Linked DNA regions of Caenorhabditis elegans. The protein of the gene in region 1 interacts with the protein of each later gene in a pairwise test. Each region holds a gene or a part of one and is shown in the gene's direction. Other genes may lie near its edges. The genes, in order: F27C1.4, Y38C1AA.7, cup-2 and prx-5.

Evidence for each region.
Region 2: the proteins of F27C1.4 (region 1) and Y38C1AA.7 interact in a two-hybrid assay, tested with the Caenorhabditis elegans proteins (one large-scale study listed by BioGRID).
Region 3: the proteins of F27C1.4 (region 1) and cup-2 interact in a two-hybrid assay, tested with the Caenorhabditis elegans proteins (one large-scale study listed by BioGRID).
Region 4: the proteins of F27C1.4 (region 1) and prx-5 interact in a two-hybrid assay, tested with the Caenorhabditis elegans proteins (one large-scale study listed by BioGRID).

Annotation. Positions count from the first base shown.
Region 1 is NC_003279.8:5,419,325-5,426,408, forward strand, and holds F27C1.4 (uncharacterized protein), read left to right. Parts: upstream 1-3,461; coding exon 3,462-3,881; downstream 3,882-7,084. Other genes in the region: erp-44.1 (Thioredoxin domain-containing protein), read right to left, coding at 351-435, 481-630, 682-777, 1,317-1,368; utp-14 (Small-subunit processome), read right to left, coding at 2,184-2,234, 5,838-5,984, 6,038-6,294, 6,354-6,873; F27C1.3 (Dauer Up-Regulated), read left to right, coding at 7,040-7,069.
Region 2 is NC_003282.8:155,667-163,135, forward strand, and holds Y38C1AA.7 (DUF7087 domain-containing protein), read left to right. Parts: upstream 1-3,295; 5' UTR 3,296-3,361; coding exon 3,362-3,442; intron 3,443-3,717; coding exon 3,718-4,116; 3' UTR 4,117-4,170; downstream 4,171-7,469. Other genes in the region: gegf-1 (EGF-like domain-containing protein), read right to left, coding at 473-591, 693-873, 1,405-1,493, 2,089-2,224; Y38C1AA.19 (RING-type domain-containing protein), read left to right, coding at 4,498-4,546, 5,384-5,586, 5,800-5,997; Y38C1AA.6 (RING-type domain-containing protein), read left to right, coding at 7,186-7,234.
Region 3 is NC_003279.8:10,396,065-10,403,807, reverse strand, and holds cup-2 (Derlin-1), read left to right. Parts: upstream 1-3,630; coding exon 3,631-3,780; intron 3,781-3,837; coding exon 3,838-4,014; intron 4,015-4,240; coding exon 4,241-4,651; 3' UTR 4,652-4,818; downstream 4,819-7,743. Other genes in the region: tag-353 (Ubiquitin-like domain-containing protein), read right to left, coding at 1,349-1,516, 1,563-2,109, 2,213-2,332, 2,436-2,515, 2,567-2,737. UniProt on the Caenorhabditis elegans protein: Specifically required for the degradation process of misfolded endoplasmic reticulum (ER) luminal proteins.
Region 4 is NC_003280.10:8,701,047-8,709,642, forward strand, and holds prx-5 (TPR_REGION domain-containing protein), read left to right. Parts: upstream 1-3,777; 5' UTR 3,778-3,778; coding exon 3,779-3,878; intron 3,879-3,927; coding exon 3,928-4,112; intron 4,113-4,160; coding exon 4,161-4,505; intron 4,506-4,553; coding exon 4,554-4,784; intron 4,785-4,929; coding exon 4,930-5,019; intron 5,020-5,071; coding exon 5,072-5,535; intron 5,536-5,581; coding exon 5,582-5,675; 3' UTR 5,676-5,714; downstream 5,715-8,596. Other genes in the region: sphk-1 (Sphingosine kinase 1), read right to left, coding at 379-622; Homeobox protein ceh-7, read right to left, coding at 2,322-2,378, 2,586-2,783; cup-16 (uncharacterized protein), read left to right, coding at 6,358-6,501, 6,551-6,812, 6,900-7,432, 7,482-7,637, 7,680-7,763; srg-15 (Serpentine receptor class gamma-15), read right to left, coding at 8,023-8,140, 8,182-8,267, 8,421-8,596.

The DNA of each region.
Region 1 (7,084 bases):
TAATTTTTTTGAAAAAAATAAGTGTATCGTCAATAAAAAAAGTTGTGTAAAATTGCAGCCTATAGTGCTAAAATGTCCTAATATCATAGTAAAACAAATTTTTGAAATATCTTAATTTTTAGTTTCACATATTATAATTTTGGAATTTGACCAAAAAAAATTTTCTCAGAGTGTAGAGGTGTAGAGGAGGAGAAGGAGGAGGTGTAGAGGTTAGAACTCTGCACATTTATTAAAAGTTCGACAGTTTGCCAAATCTTTATAAGAAAATTTTTGAACAAAATTATAAATTTTTATATATTTTTATTAACTTTAAATTTAAAAAAAAAACAAATTAAAATTAAGCAACTAACCTGTACTCTCTTTTCGCGGCTTCTCCATTTCTGAACAACTTCAGAGTTGGATATTTATTAACATGATATTTTGTGGCAATGTCGTCTGAATTTCATAAAAATAAATGAATTATTCCAATTTATTACTCACTGTTCTTATCAGCATCCACTGAAGCCCACATAATCTTGCCCGGAGCCGCATCTTTGAACTTTTCCGAAGCTTCCAAGAAAATGGGTTTCAACATCTGCGAGAAGCGGCACCAATCTGCGTAGAAATTCACGAAAACGAGTTCATTTGCTTCTGAAACATGATAATTAGCATATTTTCCATAGATAGTTGAAGACAGCTCACGAATAGTTTGCTCGAAGTTTTGTGATGTCAATGAAACAACTTCAGCATTCAGTAGAGCCGGACAGAATAGAAGTAGGGATAACCACCGCAGCATTTCTGAAATTTTTGTTATTCGATTTGAGAATTTATAGGGAATTTAAAAATGTTTAAGGCAAATGTTAAGAACATTTAAATGATTTTCCAGCTGTAAAAAGTATGCTTATCAACCGATCTATAGGAAAACAAAAAGTTCAAGAGTTTCTTGATTGGTCTGTTTCAAAACGAATGTTTTTGATTGGTTGTAAACGCATATTCATCATCAGTTAGTTTAGTGCGGAAAATGGCGTTTTGCAGGGTTTAGAAAGGGTAAGACGTTGTAAAACATTTCTCAAAACATAAAAATCAATGTCTGAATGCAGCATATTCAAATTTAAAAGAACGGCAAAAGACACGTGTACTTTTTGGCCAGCATTGGTCACACAAACCGCCCGGGGTATTAAAAATAGTGGAAAAAGTGTTGAATTATAAGAGACACAGACGCTGAATCAGAAGAGGCGCAGGGTGAGTGAGTGAGCACACGGAAAAGAGCAAACGAAAAGTGGAGAAAAAGCTGACTGGCGATGAGAATTGGGCGTGGATGGGGCAGCTTTACAAACGATTTTTCATGAGAATACTGTGTGCTTGTATCTCTCTGAGAGCATGTGCCATTCCGTGCTGATCACCGAGATTCACTTCTTCTTTCAAAACCGAAAAATATAAATTTTTGTTCGAATTTAAAAAAATCAAAACCTTTTTTTTTTGGTTAAAACTGAACATCGAAAAAAAAAACGTTTTGGGGTTTATTTTCTCAAAAATAGTGAAGGTGCAGGTTCTTGTGAGAAATTTGTCAGAAAAACTTGTTGTTGCAGTGTTTTCAGATTTTTTTAAACCAAATTTTTCGTTTATTAAAAAATTGAAGTATGGAAAATTTTTTTTTCAAAATCTTTAGTGGTTTTTAACCGACAAAAAATGTTTTTAAAAATAAAAAAAAACAATTCTAGAAAATATCTGGAAAAATGAAGAATAGTTCAATATTTAATGTTGATTTTAATGAGACATGATTAAATAGAGAAATACCCTAAAAAATTAAATTTTAAATACTTTCGAAAGCGAAAAGCAGACATTTTTTTGAGATTTTTATTTCAAAATTTCAAAACTTTGGGTTTCGTTGCCAACTTTTTCAAAATATTATTTTAACAACAAAAATTATATTTTCAAATTTCAAATAAATTGCTGGGGATATCCACCATAACGAAAAAACTGATTATAATTGAATTATTTTTTAAAAAATTTGTTTTTCATTTAAAGAATTACAGGAAATGTAAAATTGAGAAAATAATGAGAAAATGGTCTCAATTAAACTTTCACCGTAAAGAAAACATATAAAATTAACAACAACGAACATTTCAGGTGACACTTCAAAGAGAGAAAACCAACAATAAAGTTTTTTTAAAAAATCAACAAAAAATTAACAATTCTTCCAATTATTCTCCGAGTAGATGCTTCTTGTTGATTGGACGAATAGCTCTTCCAGCCTGAAAATATAAATATTATAAATAGAGAAATTTTATTCAAAATTTGTGTCTAGTAACTCATGAGGGGAAAAATGTGAAAATAGTTGGAGAAAAGAAGTAAGAGAAGGAGAAGAAGAGCATTTCACAGCTGAGTGAGGAAAAGCTGTCCCTAGAAGCAACACACACATCATCGATTTTCTTTCGAGCTTCAACAATGTTTTGAAACATTTCAAGTTCTTATCAATGTAATAGGAACGTGTGAAAACCCAGCAGAATGTACGGCGCCGAACGATGATTTTGAATTACTTTCAGTCAACAACTCGATTAGTTTTAGTGACTCGTCATGGTGTAAACATATATTTGATGTTTTTATTTCTTTCTAAATAGATTCTAACAATTTTCAATTGCAAGTTTTGTTGGTTGATTTCAAATAATTCCAATATTTATGATTACTGTAATGGTTTTTTGGAAGAGGAGACAAGATTTGCTGTAACACAGGGATTACTGTAACTAAAACGTCTAGAAAATTGCTCCTCTTCAATGATAATCTTTAGAAGTTTTCTTGCTATTTTTAAAAGTTATTCAAATTTCCTCGCTAGCTCACTGATCTTCTTCAATTAATACAGGTGTGAGCCAATCCAAATATGTATTCTCTTGTCAATCATTTTTCGTCATTCTTTCTCCGATCTATATGAACACCCACCAACCTCTACACAAAAAGATGACCTGCACCCGTTTGGGAGCATTCGGTTTCCTGCGTCTCATTCTAACCAACATACACAATCTATAATATGACTCGTTCTCTCATAAACGTGAATAGAGAGAGAGAAGCAGCGCGCGCGCACACATCTAAGGGGAGGGATTGTCCGATACGAGAAAAGAGAAAGAGACATAGGAAGAACGTAAGGACAACACAGCGTTCCTCTTCATCTTCTCGTCTTTCTTATTCTGTTACTAGTCATTAGTTGCCATTCGCATTCTGGTGGTAGAAAGAGCACATCGGAGATATATCTACTTTGTCTCTTCATTTTCTTTTTTTTCCGTAAATATTACACCTAGATTCAAAAAATCTAGGCAGATAGTACACTAGGATAAAATACATGCACTTGATTTAAATTTTTATGAAGTCAATCCTGTTGTAAATCCTACTCCGTTCGAACTTTCACTTTCATTCTTTTTTCCTTCCGTTGCCGGTCTAACTTGTCTCTTTGTATATATTATTTTTTTTCAGAAAACTACAACTAAACAATGAACTCCATCGTCAATGGACTCTACACCTTCATGTCCACAACCGTCGTCCCAGCAGTCACAGAACAGGCAGCGAACCTTGTTGGAGGAGCTTCTGCACTTGCCGAAGGAGCAACACAGGCTCTAACACAAATCAGTCAGACTGCTCTCGAGTGGGGATCTGGCTCAGAGGATGCCACGGCTTCTTCTGAAGTCTTCTCATGGGAGCAACAAGGGGCGGCGGCGGCGTCGTCTGATCTTCAAGAGGATAAAAAGGAGACGACAGAGGATGTTCACCAGGAGGCGATAGGAGCATCGTCACCAAATACATCGATCGAATGGGAAGTGATCCATGAGAATCCAGACGAGACGGGTCCAATCAGGCACAATCAATTTGAGATGGTGCAAAACAACTACGAGTGGATGAAGAATTCCAAATGATCTGGGATGAACGAAGAAATCCTATACATGTTCGGGTCTATTTTAATATTACTGTCCAATTTATGTCATGTTTTCGGTAATATTTACCGGTTTTCACAATGTTTCACAATAAACTTTCGTACGTGATCAATTCTACAATGTCCTTGGCAATAAAAACTACTTCAGACAAGAAATTTCAAAGACAACAGGGATTTGAGGTGTTAGAAATCATGGGCAATACTTAATGTAAAAAATCTATTAATAACAGAATATCGAGCTTCTTATCGGTTAATTTCGCAACCTATTACAACTCGAACAACATTCGCCAGTTTGCGTGTTCATTTTTGCATATTTTCTTGTTAGAACAGTGTTTGTTTGTTTTTATAGTCTACTTTTTTTTTAACGAAAAAGGGAAAAGCTTGTGACATCAAAATGAACTCGTCACATGTGCCGTTCGGTTCCTGTCTCCCGTGCCAGTGCATATATATGCACAGATGATAGATGTTCGCTTATATTTTGTGACATTATACACCTTTCTAAATATTTTAAAATCGAAAAGAGCTGTCTCAAATGTAAAAAGTGGTCCCTATTCCGAAATTATATCAAAATCAGTTTTGAAAAAATTTATTGTGAACAAAAGTTGCAAGAATTTTTGAATTTTTCTTTCGGCTGAAAATTCGAAATATTGTGCAATTTGATTTTAAAAAAAACCAAATAGTTGCATATGATTTTAGGGGAGCATATGCAAGGTTGCACTGAGTCTCATAGGGGTACTGTATTTTTTTATCTCTAATTCTCTAAACACTACTACTACTCGATTCTCTAATATATACAGTTTCTTCTTTCATTATTTTCGATTTACATTTTTAAATAATATGAAGATTTTAAAAATTGTATTCTTTAAAAACTTATCGAAACTTATTTCTAAACCAAATTTAAAAAGACCAACTCTCAAAAACCTATTATATTGATCCATATTCTGGGACTCTATATTGTCTCTTCTCTTCCTCTACTATGTTGGAATAATAATCAAATGGTCTCGTTAGCCGCCAGAAAGTTATTGATTACAAAGGTGTATACTGTTACATCAGATCGAGCGTTTTTGTGCACAGTCACGCCTATTTGGCAGCCTGCCATACGTTGGGTGTTCAGTCGTCCGTCGTTTTTTTTACCTAGGCTCTATGTTCTTAATTTCTTCTATGTAGTTTGATTTCCATATTACCTCGATTTCGTAACTATCCCTTTTTTGGCACAATAGATTATGAAATTGCGTGTTTGTTTCCTCAGCCCTTCTATTCATATTTTCCTTATCTAAAATGACTAAAACTTATTTCATTTTCAGAACCACAAGTTCTCAAAATGTCTTACTTCTCCTATGCAACCTCCATCTGGAATTCCGTATCAGAAATGGTCACATCTGCAGCTGAAACCGTCGGAACACTTGTCAACGCGGTTACTGAAGACACTACTCCAGTCGAACTCGTAGAGGTTCCACAACAAGAAGAACCAGCTGTACCAGAGAAGCTAGAGACTTTAGAGCCTGCAGAGGTGGAAGCATCTTCCAAGGAACAACTGGACGAGAAGGAAGACTACGATATGCTCGATGATCATGCTTTGTATGTCATAATGTACGAGTACGCTCGAGGAATCACCACGGAAGAAAACGTTTTCGTTGATTTGGAGGAATCGTTGCCATGTCATTGACTTCGCAAGATCTTCGTCTAGTTCGGATGATCAAAACTAATTATTTTTAAATTATTCATGTTTTCCCTACTTATAACCACTTCATCTGTTGTTTTATCAACTTTTTTTTTGTTTGAAACAATTCAGGTCCAACCCATCACACACTCCCAGTCCAATGCCTTTCTTTCCTTGTTTTCACTCGTTTTTTTCCACTGTTCACGGTTCTCTTCTCCTTCTCTTTGTTTCAACATAATTTTCATGTTCAATAAAACTGTAAAATATAATAAAGCTTACCTCAACAACAACCGCAGGTTTGCACAACTCATCTCGCATCTTCTCCATATTCCATTCAAGACCCAACGGTTGTTTTAGCACAGCCTCATAGTCTTCAACTCGGGAGTAGGGGAATGGTAGAGAACGTGGCTGGATCTTTCCGATACCCTGAAAGCTCATTTTTGCAATTAAAAAATCTAGGAGATATATCAGGTGCTTACATCCTTAGCCGTCATATTTTCAGCAATAATTACTCCGTTTCTCTCTCCGTCCCTTCTTCTCTTCTCTTTTGCTTTAATCACAAAGTTTTGGCGTCGCTTCTTCTCAGTCATTCCTGGTCCAACCCATGAGCCCCATCCGGCCAAATTGAGATCTACATCTTTAACTTTTTCCTTTTCTTTCACTCCTTCTTTCATATCTTCAAAATCTCCAATGACGTCATCATCCTTGAAAGCTTCATTGATAACTTGAGCGGCTTCTGCAGGAAAAAATCGTTGGAATATAGTTAATAAAAAGAAAAAAAAAGATTAAGCTTACCTTCATCAAACTGATCCATTTTCTCAACAAAATCCGACGAAACTTGTGTCAAGTCGTTTGTGTTGAGCTCTAGAAATTTGCTCGGATCGATTTCAATTTCCTTTTGTCGTTTTTCAGCGGCATGCACTCCAGCTGAATCCACTGCCTTTTCCACTTTTTCATCAAAAGTTTCTGCACGTTTAGCCTCCATCTTCGGATCATAATTCTTATCAACATATGATACTTTTCCAATTGTTCCTTTTCTCGCTGACTCCTTCGCTTTTAGTAGCTTCTTTTTCTTCTGCTTTGCCTTTTTCGCATCTTCTTTCTCTTGCCAAGTGTCATCGACGTCGAATAGAGGATTTTCACGTGATGCACCAGTATTCGCTGAAATACTTCGAGTTATAGCAGCTTCTTGTCGTTTCTTGGCTCGCATCTGAGCAAGTGTCACTTTTTGAGCATCGGAGTCTTCGAGGAAAGTATCAACTAGAGCCGTGCCAACTTGTTTTCTGGATTCTTTCTCCGCTTCTTGGGCGGCATCCTGAAATTTTTTAAAATTAATTTTAAATATAAAATTTTAAAAAATAGAATGTTACTACGTGAAGAATAAATCATCATTTTTCAAAATCCTCTACTTGATAACTCTTTTATTTTTATTTCTTCGATCTCAAACTACAGTTGTGGATATATCGATAACTATATCACAAATGATGAGCATGGAGTTATTTGGTTTACAGGTATTGTTTGAAAAC
Region 2 (7,469 bases), on another chromosome or scaffold:
ACAACTGAGTATCAATGCGGTAATTACTGAAAGATGAACATGTCGGAACGTGAGAAGAGCTAACGAAAACAATAGAGAGTGAGATGACTTCGACTTTTGGAATTTTTGGACGAATGCCACTTTTGGGAAGTAGATTGAGACCTTGTGTATGGAGCCTTACACGGTTTAGGGTCGTTAGGTAGTCATAAATTAGAGACATTGGAATATGAATGCAATGTACCAAGTTATGTTGTTATTATAGGCCTTTTACAAAGGTTATTGCAGCCGCTATTACTATGACAGGTGGTACTATTACAACCTTAGTCTGTAGAGAAGTAAGTATATTTGAGATTTTATCTTTGTTTTGTTTTGAACAATTAAGGATTTTAGGTATATCTGTGAAACATAAAACACACTGTATTTTTAATCAATATTTATTTACAAAGCGGTCAAAAACATTTGTTAGTAATTGCTCATAAAGATATAAAACCCCTTATATCGGAGTTTGACAGCGTTTTCCAGTGTATCCAAGGTTACAGAGACAAGTCAGCTGGTTAGTGGTTCCAAAGCACAATCCATGTCCGTTACAGTCGCGAGCCGAGTCGCAAACGGCTGAAAATAATCCACGTAGGGGTTGGAGGCAATCTAGTATGAAGGCAGATAGATGCACCTGCCGATTAGTAAAGCCTTAAAACTAAAAGATAAAACCTTACTCTCTTCACAAGTCTTTCCAGAAAATCCCAATTGGCATGCGCAGAGGAATGTTTTCTTTGTTCCGAGACAAGTTCCACGGTGATTACAGTCGATGGCTCCGCAGGATTCGAGGCTTGAACGGGATAGGAGACTGTTCTCTTCTTCTTCACGTTCTCGAGCAGTTTCTTTCAGACTTTCTACCTGAAAGTGGTCAGAATCAAAACTTGAAATGTTTCAAACATTTTCAGAGTGTGTAAGAAATCTTCAATTATTTTTTTCAGAAATTCCAATTCAAATTCTAGAAACTTTCTGAAATTTTCACGGGATTTTAAAAATTACCAGCTTTCCTAAAAGTTTACAGAAAATTCTTTTAAAAAATTCAAAAACGTTTGGAGGTTTTCAAAAGATCCCTAGGTTTTAACTTTTTCTAGGAGTTTTTTTTTATTTTTAAATTTTACCAGAAGCTTCTAAAGCTTCTAAAAATGTTTCAGAAATTTTCAAAAGGTAAAAAAAATTCAAGCAGTTTTCAGAAGGCTCTAAAATTATCTGGTTTTTTTTCTTCTAAATTTTCCAAAAGACGTTCTAAAAGCTTCCAGGTTCTTGAGCTTCCAGAATTTTTATAAATTTCTAGCACGTTCTATCTAGTTTTATACAGAAGTTACTAGAACCTCTGCAGTGTCAAAAACTTATCAGAAAAATTTAAATTTTAAATTTTGCGCCAAAAAAACCGACCGCCTTGTCGAGTTCAGCCTTCACTTCCTCTTGAATATCATTTGCATCAACTTCCCTCTTTTTGTCAGTTTTTTCTTCGGCTTCCACATCTAAATAAATTATTTACTGTGAGGTAGAGAAAATAAAATTTCAAAATAAAATTATCCAACAAAAAAACTAGATAACTTTCAATTTGAAAAGTTCGTAAGTTCACTCCGGGAGATAATTGATGTTGAAAAGGTATTTGATATACGATCCTTTAGTAATTGTAATACATCAAATAACTGGTACACGTCATTTCGAAAAATAAACCATTGAATTACCTGATTCTGAAAAATTTTCTATAAAAATTTTTGAAGAAGTTTCTGGAAGCTAAACGATTCTAAAATTTTCCCGATTAGAAAAGAGGATCTAATAAAGTTCTAGAGGATTCTAAAATATTTTGAAGTTTATTGAAAATTTCTAAAAACTGCCAGGTGGTCTCTAGCAATGTTGAGAACTTTTTTTAAAAACTTTCTGGACTGTCCTAAGAAACTAGAACATTCTGAAATTTTCTGATACTTCTTGGATTTTTTTGGAGCACTGTGAAAATTCCAAAAAAATTCTGAAACTTTCTAAAACTTTCTGGGACTTTCCAAAATGTTTTCTAAAAAATTCTAAAAAAATTCTAATATTTTCTTAACTCATCTTTATTATATATTTTACCTGAAATTTCAACTTCTCCTGAAATTGTCTTATTTCCCACATCGTCCACTTCAATCACGTGCACTTTTTCGGCATGAATCCACGTGACCAAGACCAGGAAAATTCCAAAAATTGTCGCGGAGGTTTTAACAAACATTTTTTTTATCTGAAAGTTGATTTCTTGGAACTTTTCATGATGACAATTGACAAAAAAGTGGTAGATATTATTCCCAAAACACTATACATATTAGAATACAAAATCTAAACAAAAAAATAACGACACAAACACAAAAGTAACAATTTGGCGTGGTTACGTAACAGTTTTGTGCCCCTATTCCACCTTTGCCCCGTGAGGGTGGGCCGGTTTTAGGGGGATAAATTAGGGAAAAAAGTCAGGAAGCGTGTCGAAATCGGCGAGATCCAAAAAACCAGATGATTATATAATAGGAGGGGTGGTTGTTTCGAGGATACTCTTTTGGTCAGATTTATTGTATTTTAGTTAGGCTATATACTTGATGGCTAAAGTAGTTCTGAAGATGGTTCAGAACAATAGGAACAATTGTCGAAAAGTTCCAGTTTCTAGCATTTCGGCTAGTAAATTGTTGGTGTTTAACAGTAACAAAATAGTAACTTGTGGAAAAAACCAACCGATGGAAGTGATTTCGTGAGCTACAAACTACAATTCTACAAACTGCAATTTTCACAGATTTCGAAATATAATATTACTATAAACTATACCCATGCAATCTAGAATTTTCAGATTAAACAAATTAAACCAAAACTGTTACGCGAGTTACAGATTGAATACTACCAATTAGAAATTAGAAACTGTAAACTACAAACCACAAACTACAAACTACAGACCTGAAGTTGATAACTATAGAGTTGAGACAAGAGACTGAAACGTGCAACTCCACTTCAAAAACTTTTCCTAACAACTGAAATCTATAAAGTTGAAGCTACGGAAGTGCAAACTACAAACTACAAACTAAACTATGAAAGCGTACCCAATACATTGTTTAATATGTCCTAGAGTTCCTGAAAATGGCAGAAAACTAGGAATTCAAAAATGGCCGTGAAACAAAAAAGTTATAATTTTCAATTTTTTAATTTTTTAAAGGGTTTTCAAAAAATAAAATAATTTCACGCATCGGCCCGACAATTCCCTATCGCCACGTTTAATCTGCCCCAGTTTCGTCCGTATAAAAGCTCGAAAAAATGTGAAATCAAATCAGTCTCTGCTCGAATCATCACCGATTTTCTACTCGCTCGACAACGATCTCTCGCAGCTACAATGGATCAAATCCCACCATACGAGTTCAACAAGTACGTGCTCTACGTCCGTGGTGCCGTCATCGTCTGTGCTTCATTTGAGGTATGTTTGGGGATTTCTGGGAGGTTTTGTAAAGATCTCGCCCTGACCAGGTCTTTCCTTGGGGATTTTAATACAAGCGTAGAAGATTTTCTGTGTGGGCAATGAAGGGTAATTGCCGGTTCGCCGAATTTCCCGATAATTTGAAAACGGCAATCTGTCGGCTTTGCCGTTTGTCGGAAAACTCCATTTTCGGCAATTTTCAGCATTCCGAATTTTCCGTTTGCCGGTCATCCCTAAATGTAGCCTTTTTCATCTAAAACCTTTATAATTTTCAGCTCCTGTTGGTCCTATTCGGTTCCCTCGAAGATTGCAACTTCCTTGCTAAGCTCTTCTACTTCATCTTCCTTGGCGGAGCAGTTGCCATCTCAGCTCACAACATTGGTCTCAACGTGGATGGTCGCGAGGAGCTCAACAAGGTTCTTTCATCGTCAGAGAATGAAGTTCGTGGAAAGTCTGCTGCCTTGATTCTGGTGCCAGCGCTCTCCGGTGTCCTCGTCTTCTTATGTGTCTCTGGACATGCATTCTTCTCGCTTTTCGTGCTCATCCATGTGCTCGCCGCCGTTGGACAACTCGGAATTGAGGTTTATGAGTTGAAGAAGGGACAATCTGGAGGTTCTGCACGAGGTGCTGCACCGTCAGCACAGGATCCAGCTGCTGCTCCACCAGCCCAATAGACGAAGAAAATAAATCTGATATAAATGGAATAAATTGGAGTTTTTATTATTATTCTCGTTCAGATTTTTGTTTTGTATTTTCTTGAGATCGAACAGAGGCTCCCTGAAAAAAACGTTACAGGTCAGCAAAATATTTTTCTACTTCCGCGTATTAAAGAATTCTTGTCCGAAATAGAGAGGAAGTTTCGTAACACGTTTCGTAAGATTTGCCGTATATCATCTCGCGTAGTTTCGAGCAATTCTAAAAAATATTGTCAATTTCCATTCAGAATTTCTCAGTTTCCTCAGTTTTCCTAAGTTATTTTCTTATCGGACTCCTTATCAGTCGTCAATAAAATGGTAGGTGCTTACCATTTTTGCATTTTGTAATTTTCTGTAGACATGTCTTTGTGTCGCACATTTTTCTGTGTGAAGTGTTCACAATTCTTCGGTAAGTAGCAATTTAATTAAGTTTTGTTTAACTTATTAAACTTGGTAATATATTGTAGATATTTCATTAAAGGTGGAGTAGCGCCAGTGGGGAAATTGCTTTAAAACACGCCTATGGTACCACAATGACCGAATATCATAATAAAAAAATTCAAAAAAATTTTCCTGATTTTATATGATTTTTTGAAAATAGCAAAATTCTCAGTTTTTGCCTAATTCCTATTTGAATTTCCGCCAATTGAATTTGTTCGATGGAGCGCGCTTGCACGTTTTTAATTTAATTTATTTTATTTTTTGTTATTTTCCACCAATTTTTAATGTTTTCGGTGTATTTTTGCTCGAATTTTAGGGAAAAAGTCAAAATAAATGCAAATTTTCGATTAAAAAGCACGCTTACACGCGTAAATCAGTTAAATTAATTAATTTAGGTTCGAAATCGTTTAAAAGCGTTTCTTTTTCATTTTAACGCTTGTAAGCGAGCTTTTTAATCGAAAATTTGCATTTCTTTTGACTTTTTCCCTAAAATTCGAGCAAAAATACACCGAAAACATTAAAAATTGGTGGAAAATAACAAAAAATAAAATAAATTAAATTAAAAACGTGCAAGCGCGCTCCATCGAACAAATTCAATTGGCGGAAATTCAAATAGGAATTAGGCAAAAACTGAGAATTTTGCTATTTTCAAAAAATCATATAAAATCAGGAAATTTTTTTTGAATTTTTTATCATGATATTCGGTCATTGTGGTACCATAGGCATGTTTTAAAGTAATTTCCCCACTGGCGCCACTCCGCCTTTAATACGATGTTTTACGCCAAACTAAATCAAAATTTTCTAGATGAATCAAATCAACAATCTCGTGTTGGAGTATGCAAACATTCGGTTTGTGAGCAATGCTTTGACCGAAAAATGTCTCCGAATTGTCCGGCTTGCAACAAAATAGACGCTTTTAAGCATACAAACATTAAATTTCAAGCGATCGCAATTTCGGATAATCTGTCAGATGAGCCGGTACTTTCGAATTTGCACCGTTACAAACATGTGAGTTTGTATGTTCTTTCTATGATTTTATAAACCTAACGTTTGAGCGTTTTATTTAAAATTTCTAAAGAAATCCTTGGAAAACATACTTTGCAAGCTTTACAGCCAAATTTGGGCATATAACAGAACTGAGCAAGGCTTAACTTTTTGCTTTAAGTCTGACCACAGCCATGATCGGGTTCAAGTCTCTTATCATCATTCGATATTTTTCAGGTTAACTCAAATAGTTCTGCAGAGCAAGTTAACAATACCCGGAATCGTGCCACATTCTGTAACGATGGAACTCACAAGACACACAAAATCTCCGTGATCGAGAATGTTATCTCATTTCTGAAAAGAATTGAAAGTTTAAACACGCTTTCAGTGATCTCGCCTAACATGACTTTATTCAAAAGTACAATTCAGTTTTAATTGAATGTATGTATGATGAACTGGAGGTGCCAGCGAGCAGGGCTGAGCGGCTGGCTGATTTTTTCGGCTGTCGGCTGGCCCCGCCAGCCGACAACGTATAGTTTTTCGGCTGTTTTCCGGCTGGCAGCGAGTTCCTTCTCATGGACACTGCGTTTGAGTTTTGCGATTTCCAGAAGATGATAACTGTTATATGCAACTGCTCAAGACTACGTGGATTGAGCATATGTTAGATTTTGAATTATTATCTAAGACATGTACTGTTTCCCTTATTGCAGTTTTCCCTTCGTTTGAAACACAATTCGAACATTTTTTCTTTTCATTCCTATAAAATATAATGTTGTTCAATTTGGTTTTGATTTGTTATTACTTTTTAATTGAAATAGCAAGATATTTAAGACATAGCAATAATTACTTGTATTGTATTCAATTTATGACAGTTTATTTCTTATCGATATATTCTCTGTCATAATAGCTATAGCTCATAAATCGGCTGCGCATTTATGTATAAAAATCAGACATTGTACGGTGAAAAGAGTTATTCACAAAAAATCTAATGCTATATCGTCAGAGAAAACAAACCGACCATGTTTTAAAACATGAAACGAATATATATATATATATATATATATATAATGTATACCTCAAGGTGTTTGGCGGTATGTTATGCTGTAAGGAATCTGTTTTTAAAAAAACGTTCACTTTCTGTTTCGCCTTTCGAACTTTCAAATATCCATAACTTAGATTATTATTTTAACGTTTTATGCGTTATTCATCTTTTTTTTTTCTTTTCTTTCTGATTGTCCGTTTCAAATTCTCTAACACTATTCCATTTACATCTAGTCACCACCCAAATTTCAGTGAACCACAAAATTTCAGAAATATCGATGATATCACATTGTTTGTTCAGCGTATTACTTATCATTTAATAAAACACACATAGACATTTTCAACCTTTGTTTATTTGTTTCAAGCAATGAATATTGATTTTCCGGTTTTCTCATATTTTCAGACTTTTTTCTTTTTTTCTCGGATTACATTGATTATTTTGCCAGTTAATTGAAAAGAGTTTTGGATAAATATTATTTTCACCAAACTTTTTAACTTTTCGCAATAAAACAGTTTGCTTAACAAAATGTATTTGTTTTCTTCTTACATTGAAATTTCAGAAAAATCGGATCATCTTTGAATATGTCACTGTGTGGCTCAGTTCTTTGTATAAAATGTTCGTTAGTATTCGGTGAGTTTTTATTTTTTCGTTGATAGTTTTATACAAAAATACTCAATTAAAAACGTCCCACAGGAATGCCGGAAACTTATTTTAAAAATTATATGTTCATTCCATGTATAGGGAAAAATGTGGTTTTTTCGTGGTTTTTTGTCCTAAATGACAGAATACAGTCCCAATATCCACAATAAAACTGTAAAAATACTTATTAAAGTTTCTAAATTTTTTTGAATTCCCGCGCAACGGA
Region 3 (7,743 bases), 5.0 Mb from region 1:
AGAATTGAGGAAAAAAGTGGATGGAAAAAACCTTAGACGGTTTTCGTATATGACGAAACCTAAGGGAATGAGGTCAAATATTCATGTCGGTGAAGTTTAAAACAGGGATTTATTCAATACCGATTCTTGAGACTTTGGGAGGTTATTTAGCATAATTAGGAGCGAATGAATCTTATCGAAAAATAGTTTTTAAAAGTTATTGAAATGTATTTCTTCTGACGTTGTAATTTTTTTGAGTGAAAAACCAAAATATGTGGAATTTTGGTTTACTGCACACTGCTCCACGTCCACCATCACGCGGACACACTTTTCTAGGCCGGTCTAGGCCTATTTTCACACAAGAAATGTCATTTATCTTTGTACAAAGATTTAAAAACCATTATCCGAAAAGCTTGCCCTTTCTAAAGTACCCAATCAAGTTTTCCTATTCTCCAATCTTTTATTTCTCAATTTAATTAAAAACTGATAAAATTCGTTTCACTGATCACCTATTATGGATCAGAAGTGTTGGTAAATCAATAATTTATTGTTGTTTTAATATGAAATGGTTTTGTGGTCTGACGCGAAAAATATCTCGTAGCGAAAACTACAGTAATTCATTAAATGATTACTGTAAATAACGCTGGTCCGATTTTGCGGTTTTTGCCATTTTTTGATGATGTATATAAAAAACATAGAAATGACAAAAACATTAGAGGAACATTTAATATCGCTGTCAAACTCGAAAATCCAGCCCGTAAATCGACATCAGTGCTGCAGTAGTTATTTAAAAAAAAATACTGTTGTTTTCGCTACAAGATATTTTAGTTGACCTTTATGCTGTATATCCGAAAGGCTAATGAATCAATACTATTTCCAACAAAAGCATCGAACCAGTGTGTACGAAACGACACCCGAACAGTATGACGACGATTTGAGGAAAAAGAGGAAAAACTAGACAAGTGATGGTCAGAAATGGACAGTGGTCAAAAAATGGAAGGGATAGAGGAGACCAGTCCTTTCCAACGTGCATAATCGACGTCGAGGGAGATGACGGTTCTGAACAAATCGTAATAAAGTTTATTCGAAAATAAAGAGAAAAGGGGAAGAGTGGGGAGACCCGCAGTAGAAGAAACTTCGATATTAAGATACATATACACAAAAAAGAGTGTCTAGACGGTGTGAAACTAGTGTAAAGGAAGTCAGATTTTCCAAGAAAAAGGACCCTTCAGTTGTACAGTATACATCGGGAGAAGTGGAAGAGGGATGACGGTGAGAGAATATAACCAAATGACTGATAAAGTTCAAGGGGCTTCAAATAAGAAAATAAAGTTAGAATGAATACATGTGGAATGATGATGAAGTTGATTTAATTCAGATCCATCGGCATCGGATGATCAGGAACAAGTGATGCAAAGAAGGAGGTGACAAATGAGTATAAAGTGGCAATGAACACTTGCATACCAGTTGGTTGTGGAGCTGGTGGTTCCACTGGAGCATCGGAAGTTGCTGGTGTCTCTCCTTCCGTGGTTGGAGCCTGGAATGGTACATGATAATGAATAAAATATTTTTTCTAGACCAACCGTATTATCTCCGTCGTTCTCTCCATTATTGTTGTTATTAACATGTGGTTCTTGATTATTTGCTTGCTGAGCAGCGGCGGCAGCAGCCTGAGCTTGAACTCTATTGCGAGCGTGATTTCGTCGCAGTTGAATGAAATAAATGAATAGTGCCGAGCATAAAACTAAAGCGAATCTTTCGAATGACGAGTAGAGAAGAATTGCAGAAAATAGCAAAACCACTTTGAAAATTCGATATCCCACTTCCAAAATGTCAACTCTTCCCTGTCTTGGCGCTGCAGCTCCTTGATTTCCGTTGGCTCGAGCGGGAGCGGCCACCCCTTGAACTCGAATTCTCCACGCCACTGCATTTTGTTGAAGCTGTTGGTTGGCGGGAACTTGATAAATTGGTGCAGCGGGAGTTGTCGATGCGTATGTGTAGTAGTGAGCCATTAATCGCTGATGCTCGGAAACTTGAGCTTCCGGAGACAGTTGATTGTAGGCATTCCAGTACTGTTGCCAGGCAACCATGTTCTGAGCATATTCATTGAGAGCCGATCCCGATGCCGAACTGAAAATTAACTTGGTTTTTTAAATTAAAAATATTATTTTCTCGGCAAAAAAACATAATTTTCAAATAATTATTAAAATATCTATTAAACGTTAAAACTCACTTTTGATTTGATGCAGTATTATTTACATTTCTTCTACGAACATCCGCAGTTGGAGTTGTTTGTTGATATGGTTGTGCGATCATCAAATGAAAGAAGATTTGTTCACCGGCGACATGATTTCTAAAATAATTTCAGTTTATAATTAATTGCAAAATTTTCCATCTTTGTTGAAATTTTCTTTATTTTTATAACAGAATTTTATTAACAGTCAAGAAATACTCACCTTTCTCTTAAAACGTCTGCCAAAACCTGTTCGTTGTTCAGAGAAGCTCCAGAAAAAATCAGCCGTTGTGTGACAACTTCCTAAAACAATTCAAAATATTTTTTATGGATTTTCAGAATTTATAATCTCACCGGATGATTATTCAGGCAATTCTTTACATGCTCCTTGACTTCTTTGATTGTCCAACTTGTCGGACACGAAAATTTCAGATCGCTTTCTGCCTGGTACGCCTGTCGGATCGTCAATTCCACATCATCAGATGGTGACACTTGTTCTGGCACAACGTTGATATCTTCCGTCATTCTTCTGAAAATAAGGAAAATGTGATAAGAAGCCATAAAACGACTTAAAAATAGAGAAAAGTCACGAGACGGGCGGCATTTGTGCATTTTAAATGGTTTTAAAGGAAAAATCAATAATTTTGGCGGAGAAAAAGCATTGAGATATTGCAAATAAATCTGAAGGAAATGGAACAGGTGGCAAAACTTGTTTATTCCATCTCAATTCAGCGTCAAATCGATCAATTATGTGTGTGGTGTGACCGACTAAGACACGTTCACTTAAACGAGAGAAGAGGGGTACGGTCAATGGGTCTCGAAGCGATTTGCCCGCCAGAGTGCATTGACGGCGTGGAAAAGCGTTGCTATGCTTCTCTTTTTCTTCTTATTTTTCATTTTTATCTTTTATTTTTAGTATATTTTTCACTAAAATATTTATTTTCAACATATTAAACATAATTTCATGGAATTGAGCAATAAAAACCTCGGTTTCAAAGCGTTTTCACTGCGTCAAGCAAGTCTTGAAAATTACACTATCATAAATGACAAAAAATACTTCGTTTTAAGTATTATTGATAAGAATTTTTGAGAATGGTTTTTTATCGGAGGAAAATAAAACGTTTTAAAGGAGAAAATTGTGATTTCCATTGTTTTTGCTTAAAGTAAAAAAAAAAGTATTTTTCTCATTTGAAATAATTCAATTATTGTATAGATACCTTAAAATCGAACAGAAATATTAACCTGATAATAATTTAAAAAATTTTGGTGCGCGAAAAACATAAATTTCAACATGTTAAAGAAAAATCGATAATTTGGTACACGCGTATGTATTTCCTTATCCTACGTCAGCTTTTATTCTCTACGGTTCTTTTCATCTGTCCTTTTCAATATTTCACTGCAAATCAATACATTTTCAGATGGATTTAGAAAATTTCCTTCTCGGGATCCCTATTGTGACACGATATTGGTTCCTCGCATCCACAATTATACCGCTTCTCGGTAGATTCGGATTCATCAATGTACAATGGATGTTTCTACAATGGGATCTCGTAGTCAACAAGTTCCAGGTACACTTTTATTATTTTGTCCAGAAATTATATAAGACTAATTGTTAAACATTTCAGTTCTGGAGGCCTCTGACAGCGTTAATATATTATCCAGTCACACCGCAGACGGGATTCCATTGGCTGATGATGTGCTATTTTCTTTACAACTATTCAAAAGCATTGGAAAGTGAAACATATCGCGGAAGATCAGCGGATTACCTTTTCATGCTCATTTTCAACTGGTTCTTCTGCTCGGTACGGTTTTAAATCTTTGTTTTAAAAATATCCTGAAAAAATTTTAAATCCCAAAACTTTTATATTTAAATGTTCTCTTTTATCGAGTTATTAATGCGAATTTTGGAAGATATAATTTAAAATATGTTAAAGCTGGCTCAAAAAAAAGGAAATAACATTGCAATATCCTGCATAATTTTAAAAATCAAAGATAAATGTGTTAAAATGGGAAATAATTAATTTGCAGGGACTTTGCATGGCTCTGGATATCTACTTCCTTCTCGAACCGATGGTGATCTCAGTACTTTACGTCTGGTGCCAAGTCAACAAGGACACAATTGTATCGTTCTGGTTTGGAATGCGATTCCCAGCTCGCTACCTTCCATGGGTGCTCTGGGGCTTCAATGCCGTTCTCCGTGGTGGTGGAACCAACGAACTTGTCGGAATTCTGGTTGGACATGCCTATTTCTTTGTGGCTCTTAAATATCCAGACGAATACGGCGTTGATTTGATCTCCACTCCTGAATTTTTGCATCGTTTGATTCCTGACGAAGACGGAGGTATTCACGGTCAAGATGGAAACATCAGAGGAGCACGACAGCAGCCACGTGGACACCAATGGCCAGGAGGTGTTGGAGCTAGACTTGGAGGAAATTAACAATTGTGATTCTCATTCAGTTTGTGCTTATATTTAGTAATTTATTTCCTTTTTCCTTGTATTGCCTTGCCCCTAAAATAATTATTGGGAAACATCCAAATTACATCAGTCACGAGTCAGTTTCATTGTATCACGCATGTAAATAAGAAGATACGAATAAAAAGTCATCTAAAGTACTGTTTCAGCTCATCATAATATAATTCAGAAAGCATGAGATCAAAGTGGATGCGACAGCCAGAATCGAATAAAAGCTTCGCACGACTCAAGACTCTGTCTCCTACTTCATTCGTCTTTGTTGTCACCTTTTTTTTGCGCCTTTTCGTCTTTTCTTTTGTCGCCGCCAAATTTTTGTCTTTTTCGTTGTCGTCTGTTGCTCTACACATAAAGTTTCAAAAAATAAGTATGTCAAAAACGGGGGGCGGGAAAGAAGAAAAGGGATAACAAATTGCCTTGTCGGAGAGAAGAGGACACGACAAACTCTTCCAACGACGGCTGAACCTAATGGCCCATTTCAGAGAAAGAGAAGAAGGATAACTCTACTTCTTGTATTATTCTAAACTCTTTGTTTTTCTACTGATTTGTTGCTTTTGAGATTTGAAAATAGAACGCTAGTGTTACTATAGAACAGCTGTCGGAAGCCACTCGAAAAAATATTAAAAGCTCCAAAATTCAGTAAATAAACATTTTCTTAAATAAACAATCAACAAAATTAATAGGTACTGTGAAGAATTACTATGCTTGCTATTTCAATTTTCTGCAGTTGTAAAATTGAGTGGGCACCTTTGAGCTGTACAGTACTCCACTCCCGATTGGTTGTCTGGTTTTTCTCACTAAAAATCGTTTTTATTTGTGCCGGAATAATGAAAAACTGGGAAATTTAGAGGTAATGTACAAAAAAGTAGAATAACAAAGGGAAAATCGAAGAAGATTGCAATCCAGCTAGTGGAAGACTACTGTACTCTTTAAAGGCGCACACTCATTTTCGCAATCTTCATTTAGCAGATTTCAGTCGTTTTGAGACCGGCAACTGTATTTTTGCGATGTTTGTTGAAATTATATATATTTCCTACAATAATTATGTTTAATTTATCCATGAAAATTGAAAAAAAAGTATCGAAATATCCTCGCGGTGAGACCCATTAGCATAAATTCACGCTTCTTGAAAGTTGTAGGATATACTGTAGGTTCGAATACGATCGCGACGAGATATTCATCAATTTAATTTAAATACACATATTTGCAAGAATTAACAAATTGCAAGTGTTTTCTACCAAATTCAAGACTATTTTCAAAATTTTTTGAGGTGTTTGATGGACACATCACAAATTACAAAATTGTAACTGCGTACTCAGAAATTTTCTCTTTATTGGAACATTTTTGTCCCCTTTCTCTATCCATCTAGAAAATGTATTAGCATTATTTTTCCTTGTAAAAAAGTTCCTTCCAATCGCACACGCCGTTTAATAATTGTTCCATATACGCCGAGGACATCAGAAGCAGCAGCAGAATGTCCTTTTCCAGAGCAGAAGAAGAAGAAGGAGGGAAGGAAGCAAATTGAATAGAATCGGCACCGACAACATATTCTCTCTTTTTTTTTCATTTTTCCTCCCTCTCAATCTTCTACTTCTCACCTCAACAATGTGAGGGAGGAGCAAGCAATCATTATGATGATGACGTGCTTCCCCACTTTTTTCTGAAACATTTGTTCTTATTGTGAAGGAGAACGCTGTAGTCTGAAAGCAAGGTAGTACTAGGTTGCAATATAACTTCGAATATTCAAGAAATTGGCATAGCCATAGAGCCTCTATGTCGGTTTTCGCAGCTTTTGTATTCTACGAGCAGAAGTTCACATTCGTTTTTCTGTAGATGGTTGTACAGTTTTCAGATCAAATGTACATAGGCTACTTCTTATTGCATCTAACAATTTTTCAAAAATTCTTTAATGAAAACAACCAATTTTTGTATAGTTCAGCACTAAAATGAAGAAACAAATTGGTAATGATTTGTATTTTTAATACAAAAAAAGAGAATTGTGCCTAAAACATTTTAGTCACTTTTAATTGCTCCCTGGGGAGTGCACAAGCTGCCCCAATCATTCGGATTACAGTCTGTGCCAGTCCCCAAGTTAAAATTTATTTTTGTTCAAACTTCAGATTCACTTGCAAAGTGATATCCTGGCACTTTTCTTTATGTCTTTTTCTATTGGCAAACATGTTTTTTATTAGACATTTTATTTCGATAAGTATGTAAAAAAAGAGAAAAGATTAGTCTCTGAACTCACGTATCCGAGATTGCCAAGTGGAAGAGTAAACTTCTGTGAGAAAAGTGCAATTTCTTTGGATTAGGGAGCCACTGTAGTCTATATTATATTTCAAAAACCGTATTCTTCTATTTAAGTCAGCATTTCGATAAAACTGAACTTTTATAAACCCTTTTGAAATCAATACATTTCCCTCGATGTATTGATTTCGAATTATTGAAGATCCGTTCTATTTTCATGTTGAATTTGGTTTCTCATTCTATCGAATAAGTTTTCTCAGCGGTAAAAATCAAGTAGTAAAAACCGTGGTAAGACCGTTCGCAAAAACTTTTTCGACCACCCATATCCGTGGATGTTCTTCCAGCTTCATCTCCGTACATCAAACCGTGACGTGTTTCTAATGTGTCCACCCACAATGACATCACCACTCTGTTCCAGAGTAAAAGAAGAGATACCCTTTTTCTTTTTTGAAACCTTTTTTTCACTCTCCTCCACCCTCACTTTCCGTATCTCTTTGATATCTTTCTCCTCTTACGTGTTGCTCTCTCCGGAAATAATTTGATCAGCATCTCTTCTCGGTTCAAAAAGAGTGAAGAGAATTCATTTTTCCAGCCTGCAAATTAGGTGGGCATGATCTTTAAATTTGAAGATCATGAAGTACTCATTGATTTTTTTACGAAAAATTGATCAGTAGTGTGAAACAAAACATATCAAATTACAACACAATACACAAACATAAACTTACTCGAGTCTATTTTTTAGTGCTTTTTTCAAAGAATTGGCAAACTGCCAGTCTGAAAATAAAAGCAAACTGAAAATCGCTCCGTGGTTT
Region 4 (8,596 bases), on another chromosome or scaffold:
TTTGGCATATCGATTTTTATGTAACAACAGGCGGTTTAATCGAGGGATCAATGACCAGCATTAACAAGCGGATGAAACGAGTTGAACATTTATACAATTATTTTTCAAAACAACTTTTGATTTGAATTGAAATTTGATTTGAAAATTAAAGAAAAAATAAATTAAAGGATTTTTAGCTACGGTAAAGCATCACATTTTACGACAGTGCAGCGGATCCTACGCAGAAATGCACCCGTCGTGAAACTTTTCAGGCCTAGACGCATGTATAGCTCTTTTTCAAACATGAATACTTGAAATATTTTTCAATTAAAATCACAATTTATCATGAAATTAATTACGTTATTAGAAAAATATTAAACTTTTCCAAAAAAAACTCACCCTGTGGCGGTGGTTTTCTGCTCAATATCACACTTGTGAGCTGCTCGTTTTCCTCAGCATCCGATCGGCAACAGCAGCAAATTGTCCCGCCCATGTGATGTTCGGTGCAAGTGCACTTTGATGTAGAGTCCTGCATACTCCGAATTGTCTTTAGCTTTCGTTTGATAGTTAGACTGAATATTGTTAGTAGCGAAGAGTACCATTGTGTATAATTTTCAAAAATTGTTACCACTACTATGAACATTTTGGTTAATGTAAAGGTATGAGGGGCTCAAGGAGTTGGTCATGGTTAGAGTGTGTTAGAGAAAGAGAGTGGTTAGATGAGAAATGACAGGAGTTGAACACGGCTTAACTAAGTGCGAAGTACCTGTACGAACATTTTTAGACGTACGGTTTTCTCAATTTAATATAATTTCAAATTAAGCTTGAAATCTTAAATCGCTGGCACCGTTCAGCTAACAGTTCTTGGAAGGAAATGTTTATTTTACAGAAAATCGATATGCAAAGCACATGCACTTTTTCTAACAAATTTGGGTTGGAAATTATTTAGCCTTATAAATATTCATTTTTACTATTTTTCAATGTTTTAAAGAACCAAGGATTTTTGAGCGTTAAAAACATTGTTGTAGTCTATTGCGAGTTGCTATGGTGCATAAAATAGACTTATTGAGCACTGCAACGCTACACACATTTTCGCTTATTTACACTGCAAACAACTCACAGAAAAGGTTAGTAGAAAATGAACGAGTACTGATGTGTTCAGTTTTTTGAAAAAAACAAAATTCTAAAATAGGGACACAATGTTTTATTGTCACGTGGTAAGAAATGTTTGAATGAAAACATTAAATGAACAATAGGACGTAGGTTGAATGGGGAACAATTAAGAGTGCAGGGCAATAGACAAGGAATGGGAAATGTAGGGAACCTGTGTGGATTAATTTATATTGAGGAAGGATATGAATCATGCAGTTTGGTTAAACATGTGTATTTATACTTTAACTTCATAAAACATAAAGTATCTAATTTCAATCTTCTAACTATATGCTGTGAAACTGTAATCAAAACCATTTTGTAGAAAGGAAACTATAATGGATTTCAGAGTACTTTTTTGAGATTTCAGATCTGATCAATGGGAGAGTTATTTTCCAACTAAATAATAATTGAAAAATGAATGATCAAGACAATAAAGATGGAAATTTAAAAGTAGTCAGTCAACCACATAAGTTGATAACACTATCTTGAATTGTTTCAATTCCGGGAAAAATTAAAAATTTGAGCGTTTTCCAGAGGGAAATACCTCTACAGCCAGGTGGAATACGGAAAGAGTTGCGGAAAGTGAGCAAACATCTCTCTTGAATTATCAAAGCATTGTATTGACTATTGGGAGAATAGTGCACTCTGAGATCGCTGAGTGAATGAACGGTCACTTTGATGAAAAAACAAGGAAGTATTACTAGATGTGTTCTTTTCAAAGGTAAACTGTGAAAATAAAAGTTGCGCCGTGTGCACAAACCTATATGCTTTTCAATCTATACGTTCTCAAGTCTCCCATAACTTTATGCTTTTTTGCAAGTTTTGGCCAGTTTTTCCAATTAAAATGCACTAGATGATTTTTTAAACAATATGAGTTTATTATTTTTTAAGAAAGAATTGGCTGCTTCTAATCAATGCAAAACATACAAAAAAGAGAAAAATCAAACATCACAACTCATTTATGTAGTGTACTCCCCATGACTCGCCTACCAACTTGACTGTTTGTCCAAGAAATCGACAATTTGTCAGGTTAAAAGACAATGGGTTAATGTCTGGAAAAGTGTCAGATGATCAGGAATTTGCTCTCGAGGAGTTTTCAAAACCGTAAAGCGATGTTTTCAATGTTGGAAATAGTGGTTCTAACTACAAAATTTATTTCAGTGAAATGAAATTAAATAAATATTTGACTATTATTTATTGGCTTCTCTTCTCATCCGGATTCGACGATTTTGGAACCAAATCTTCACCTGTAATGTGCTACGTCTCGGAAAATTATTGAATGATAACAACTGATTTAAAAATTTTTTATTTTTTTCCTAGATTGATCTAATCACATCTTTACAACATACAATCGGATATGTTAGACTTAACGTAGAAGTTGCTGGAGCTCAGCCTGGTGGATAAATTTCGCAAACAATTTTAATAGAGAATAGATTTCTAAAAACAATAGAAACCTGATATTCATCTAGACTCAAAATCCTTGCCAATCTTTCCCTTTCATCACATCCAACATACTGACTTTGTGCAAAATACATTTCGAGTAAATATAGTTGTTCCACTGTAAATGTGGTTCTTCTACGTGGAATTCTGGAGGTTGAAGCTTCTGGTCTAACCATCATCAGTAAGAATGTAAAGACCATTTCGTGTTTCATATTTATGCCGTCAATTGTCAGTACAAGGGGCCGCCCGTTTTCGTTTCGTTTCGTTTAAATTATAGGGAATACATTATAAAATCACACCTTTTGTGTATATCTTCGTAGTTTTATTGGACATTTTAATAGGCCTTGTTTATAAAAGAAAATATAATAATGATGACATTATACAAAAAAGTATTCAAGGAATGTTTTATAGTTACAAAACCTATAGGTATACAGAATATGTCAAAATAGGGGAAAAAACTGAATGTATGCAGTCGACGAATAAGGTTGTCTTGACATTTTTTTGGTTAATAATGTTTTTCCTGCCAGTTTCGATATCTTTGAAATTTTGATCCAGATGACATCAATCCTAGCTATGGAATAATGGGGGAACTCTCTTTAAATTCACAACTTCATTCGAGCAAAATTTGTCTTTTGCACACGAAAAATTATTATTATTATTGCACAATCAAATATTTTTCCCCCGTGCAAGTGTGCAATGGGGCGACGGGTCGAGCCAGAAACCCGTGTTGTTGAAAATCAAACCAAGTGCAAAATATCCATTTTGCTTAATTTAAAACGATCTAGGATAACTCCACTAGCAACTAGAATATCTAATTGAAGGATTGAAATTTGGAAACTTACAATAAGGTATTCTATTTTATTACGTTTTCAATCTTGCTAGGAAAACTTGGAAAAAAAATCCATAAACGTTTCCCGGTTATTTCAGAAATCGATAGTCGACCTCCGTTGTTCCTTATCTAAATTTCATCAATTGTATCCTTTTTGATAAGACAATACTATCTTTTTATCACTACGTCTCCTTCACTCTAAATCCTAATGTAGTATCAATCAATTTGATGAAAAGACTACACTGGGGCCCACTTATTTTCTTTTTCAATCAAAATTCACACTTTATTTTATATATTTCTTGTAAATTGTATTTTTCTTCATTTTTAATTCTACTTTTTTTCAACAATTAACTCTCGAATTCTTCAATTTTTTACAGAATGAAAGGAGTTGTAGAAGGACAATGTGGACAGCAGAATGCTCTTGTCGGGTTAGCTAACACATTTGGAACATCCAATCAAAGAGTCGCTCCGAGTAATGGTAAGCTGGAAATATTCAAGTAAAAATTAACAAAAAAAAAAGTTTTTAGCTGCAGCTTCTCTTCTCCCATCTTCTTCTATGGGAGAACAAATGGCTAATGAATTTTTAAGACAACAAGCGAGAACAATGGCTCCAACAAGTTTCAGCATGAAGTCGATGCAGAATAATTTACCACAGGCATCAGCATCCTCAAGTTTGGCAGCAAATTGGACAAAGGAGTTTCAACCGCGACAGGTATTTCTAATGCATTCATATATTGGTATTTTCAATTGATTGCTTCAGAACCAGTTAGCGAGTCAATGGAGTCAACAATACACATCTAGTGCTCCAAGCATGGAATCTGCATGGCGTCAAGTTCAAGCTCCATCAATGACATCCACGTCATCACATCAACCAATAACAGATGCTGGTATGTGGTCATCTGAATATCTGGATACTGTGGATACTTCTTTAACCAAATCTTCTGGGACTCAAAACTGGGCTGATGATTTTATGGAGCAACAAGATAATTATGGAATGGAAAACACTTGGAAAGATGCACAGGCTTTTGAACAGAGATGGGAGGAAATTAAGAGAGATATGGAAAAGGACGAATCTCTTCAAAGTCCTGAAAACTATGTTTATCAGGTAAGATTTTTGTCTTCTTTAACACATTTTTATAACCCTCCTATTCAGGAAGCAAACCCTTTCACAACCATGTCAGATCCACTGATGGAAGGAGACAATCTAATGAGAAATGGAGATATTGGAAATGCCATGCTTGCCTATGAAGCAGCAGTTCAAAAAGATCCTCAGGATGCACGTGCCTGGTGTAAATTAGGATTGGCTCATGCTGAAAATGAAAAAGATCAGTTAGCAATGCAAGCGTTCCAAAAATGTTTGCAGATTGACGCTGGAAACAAGGAGGTAAAATTTGAGAAAAATATTTGATTATTTGATGCCATAAAATAGATAGGTCGCGATAAAATTCATATCTGTCTCTTAAAACTTTTTAAGAACAGAAATTAAGAAAAAAAAAAAAAAACTTCCAATAAAATCAAAATTATTTCAGGCACTTCTTGGTTTGTCTGTCAGTCAAGCGAACGAAGGAATGGAAAATGAAGCTTTACATCAATTGGATAAATGGATGTCTTCTTACTTGGTATTTCTTATTTTTATTTCAAGAATAATCCCACACGAATAAATATTTTAAGGGTTCAAACTCGACTCAAGTGACAACCACACCTCCACTCTACTCTTCATTTCTGGACAGTGACACTTTTAATCGAGTTGAGGCTAGATTCTTGGATGCTGCTCGGCAACAAGGAGCAACTCCAGATCCAGATCTTCAAAATGCTCTCGGAGTTTTATACAACTTGAATCGCAATTTTGCAAGAGCTGTCGACTCTCTCAAGTTGGCGATCTCCAAAAATCCAACTGATGCTCGTCTCTGGAATCGTCTTGGTGCTACGTTAGCCAATGGTGACCACACAGCTGAAGCCATTTCAGCATATCGAGAAGCTTTGAAATTGTATCCAACATATGTCAGAGCAAGATACAATTTGGGAATATCTTGTATGCAATTATCATCTTATGATGAAGCTTTGAAACATTTTTTATCTGCATTAGAATTGCAAAAAGGAGGAAATGATGCATCTGGTATTTGGACAACTATGAGGTTAGTTTATAGCTTTATATGTTAAAATCACCTTCACAAATTTCAGATCAGCAGCAATCCGAACATCGAATGTCCCTGACAATTTACTGAGAGCAGTGGAAAGACGAGATTTGGCAGCTGTAAAAGCCTCTCTAGTCTAGAATAATTACAATTTAAATACTAAAATAAATAATTATTTTTCCTCGAATTTTTTTACTTGGTTTTCAAACTTTCATTTTGAAAATCTCAATTTCAAGCCGATCACGAGTTTGGAAGGGTCATAAAATGTTATTACAGCGGTAAGAAAGCAGGAAGTAAACCGACCTAGCACAAAAAGTGTTCAGCTCATTTTGTTTTGTTTGTAGAACTCACATTGTTAGAGCTCAATGAAATGATTGAATAATGCCTAAATTAAAATAACATTCTTCAAGACTTCTAGACACTAAGTAATCAAATCCTATCATTTCTCTTACGGTGAATTTCTACAAAATGCTCAGAAATTCCACATGAGTCACCGTTCCATGAGTAAAACCTCGGAACATATGACTGATTCTATTTATTATCATCTTTCCGCCACCCTCTTCCAAACGTCTCACTCTTTTCTATTTGCCGGTCATCGAACACATTCTTCCTTTTCTCTTTCTGTCTTTGAAGCACATGACATGGCCATTTATCATGAAAAGGTACAGCTGGTTGAAGAAGAAGAAGATCCGAGAGAAACAGCTCCAATTGAGAGGAGCACAGTCACAAGTTTTCTCTTTCTTTTTTCCTCTCTTCTATCCAAAACATCTTCAATAGCTGTAATATTCCCCTGGAAATCTTAGTTCAACTTGTTCTTGATTTATGATTTGTTGGCTCAATTTATCGATATTTTATTTTGTATTCTCTCTGTATCAATGTCATCAAGAAGAATTATCACAAAATATAGAAGTCACTGCATCTGATTCTGCAGCAGAACATGAAGTGTTTGAAGGAATATCATCAAATGTGAGTTTTGAGTTGAAGATTGCTTCTAAAGTTTAAAACTTAGTTATAGATTGCTGGGAAAGGAGAAAAGTTAGAAGAAGAAATAGATAACATTGGTATTGTAATGCAACCAGAGCCACGAGTTGTCCATGAAGCTTCCGAAGTATCAGACAACATTGAACTTAATATCAAAGACGACCTAAACTTGAAAAGTAGACTGGACAACTTCACAAGAGCTAAATTCAGGCAATCAACCACCGTAACACCTAATATTGTTGCTGTGGAGCCTTCTATTGAAGGTGTTGAAGACGATTTAGATCATGATGAACAAGGTGAAACATTTAGAATCAATTTAATATTTTTTTCATATTGAACTCATTAGATGTAGACGATTAACCTGTATCATCAGCATGTTTCAGGAGAACCAGAAGACAGTGAAATTCGAAATCGGAACGAGCACCATTTTGCTGAGTTGGGCGGAAAAATGAAGGAACGCAGGGATCATGTAGATGATCCCGATATTCAAGAACCATTGAATAAGCCAATATCGGCTATTCCAGAAGAGACTTCAAATTCTGCAACTATTCAATATGAAAGAAGTTCGTCTGGAACACAAAACCCGCAAACTTCTTTAAATATTCCGACTGCTCAGAATGTACCAAAACTAAAACAATTAAAAAATCAAGAGATTCTAAAGGATCATTTTATTTCGGAAGTATCAGATGTTTCCAACGTTGCAGATGTTTCAGCGCCTATTGTTATTAGTCAAGTACCTGAAATATTGAATGGAGAACCCGCAGGAGTACCTGCCAATTTTGAAGAAGAAGACAAAGAACGTGTAGAAGAAGAGGAAGATCGCATCAGTTGGGATCTTATTCATTTTCTACTTTTGTTAAGTCCATATGAAGAAGGTGAAGTTACTTGGTGGACAATTGTTCTTGAAGCCGTTAAGGTTAGTTTTTGATAAAGTATAAATATACGAAAATATTTTAAAAATTCAGTGCTCTCTTCGAAGTTGTCATAATTCATCATCTCACTGGCATGATAGATCTGTGTATCTTCCGAGAATAACTCGACATCGTCGTCAAGATTCAGACTATTTACCTGGAGCACTTTCTCCAACAACACCAAAACCCTGTTTGTGCAACAATTTAGAGGTTGATATCAAAACGTTATTATTAATGATTTAAATTTTACAGACTTATTTCGAAAAACTGTATGAATCAGTTGGGAAAAAAAAGAAGGAAAAGAAAATATCAAATTCAACAACGAAATTTGTATAAAAATTCCGTAAATATGTACGTAATTCAATAAAGGTTCAACTTTTATACTATAATTAAACAAACAAATACAAACTATTTCTGCTTCAAAAATCTATATTTTCAAAGAATAAATAGCTGACTTACTCATGAATCTGAGAACAGAATCAAAAGTAAATGTTTTTGGAAGTTCTCAATCTTTTTAGAAACATAACAATCAAACGTATGTTCTAAAACGATTTAAAACCTTTAAAAAAATTTATTAACTGATTCAATTTTCAGATCAATGAGTAAATGAGTTATTGATCGTTTGAACTCTGAAAATCCGATCGTCTTCTGCTTTTGAAGGAAGTATTAATCCACGTATCTGGCTATTACTCCAAAATAATATAACAGCAGATCTGAAACTTAATGCATTAAACATCAAAAAGTTATCGCCTACCCAACAGTAAACATATCAAACGCCAGAAATTGAGCAGTGAATAATAAATCAGATGACATGCAACTAGTGCAAAACGCATATAGAGCCTGAAATTTTTTGAAAAATTCAAATAATAACGGGAAAAATTATTGCGAGCAATGTCTAAACATTCATACGTAGACTTATTGAATATAAGTAATTTAATTTGATTGAATACGTTTTTGACTGAAAATCAAAGTATGATCATGTGAACTTCTTGCCTGGCTAGCTGCCGCTGCTAAAAAAGTGAGAGAAATATAAATATTTGAGAAACATAACGATTTTTCAGCTGATTTTATACGATCAGATAGAGAAATGAGCTTATAGAGAGTAACTGATGTACATATAAAAGTGAAAACAAGAGCTGTGAGGATATAAATTGATTGGAACAAAGAAG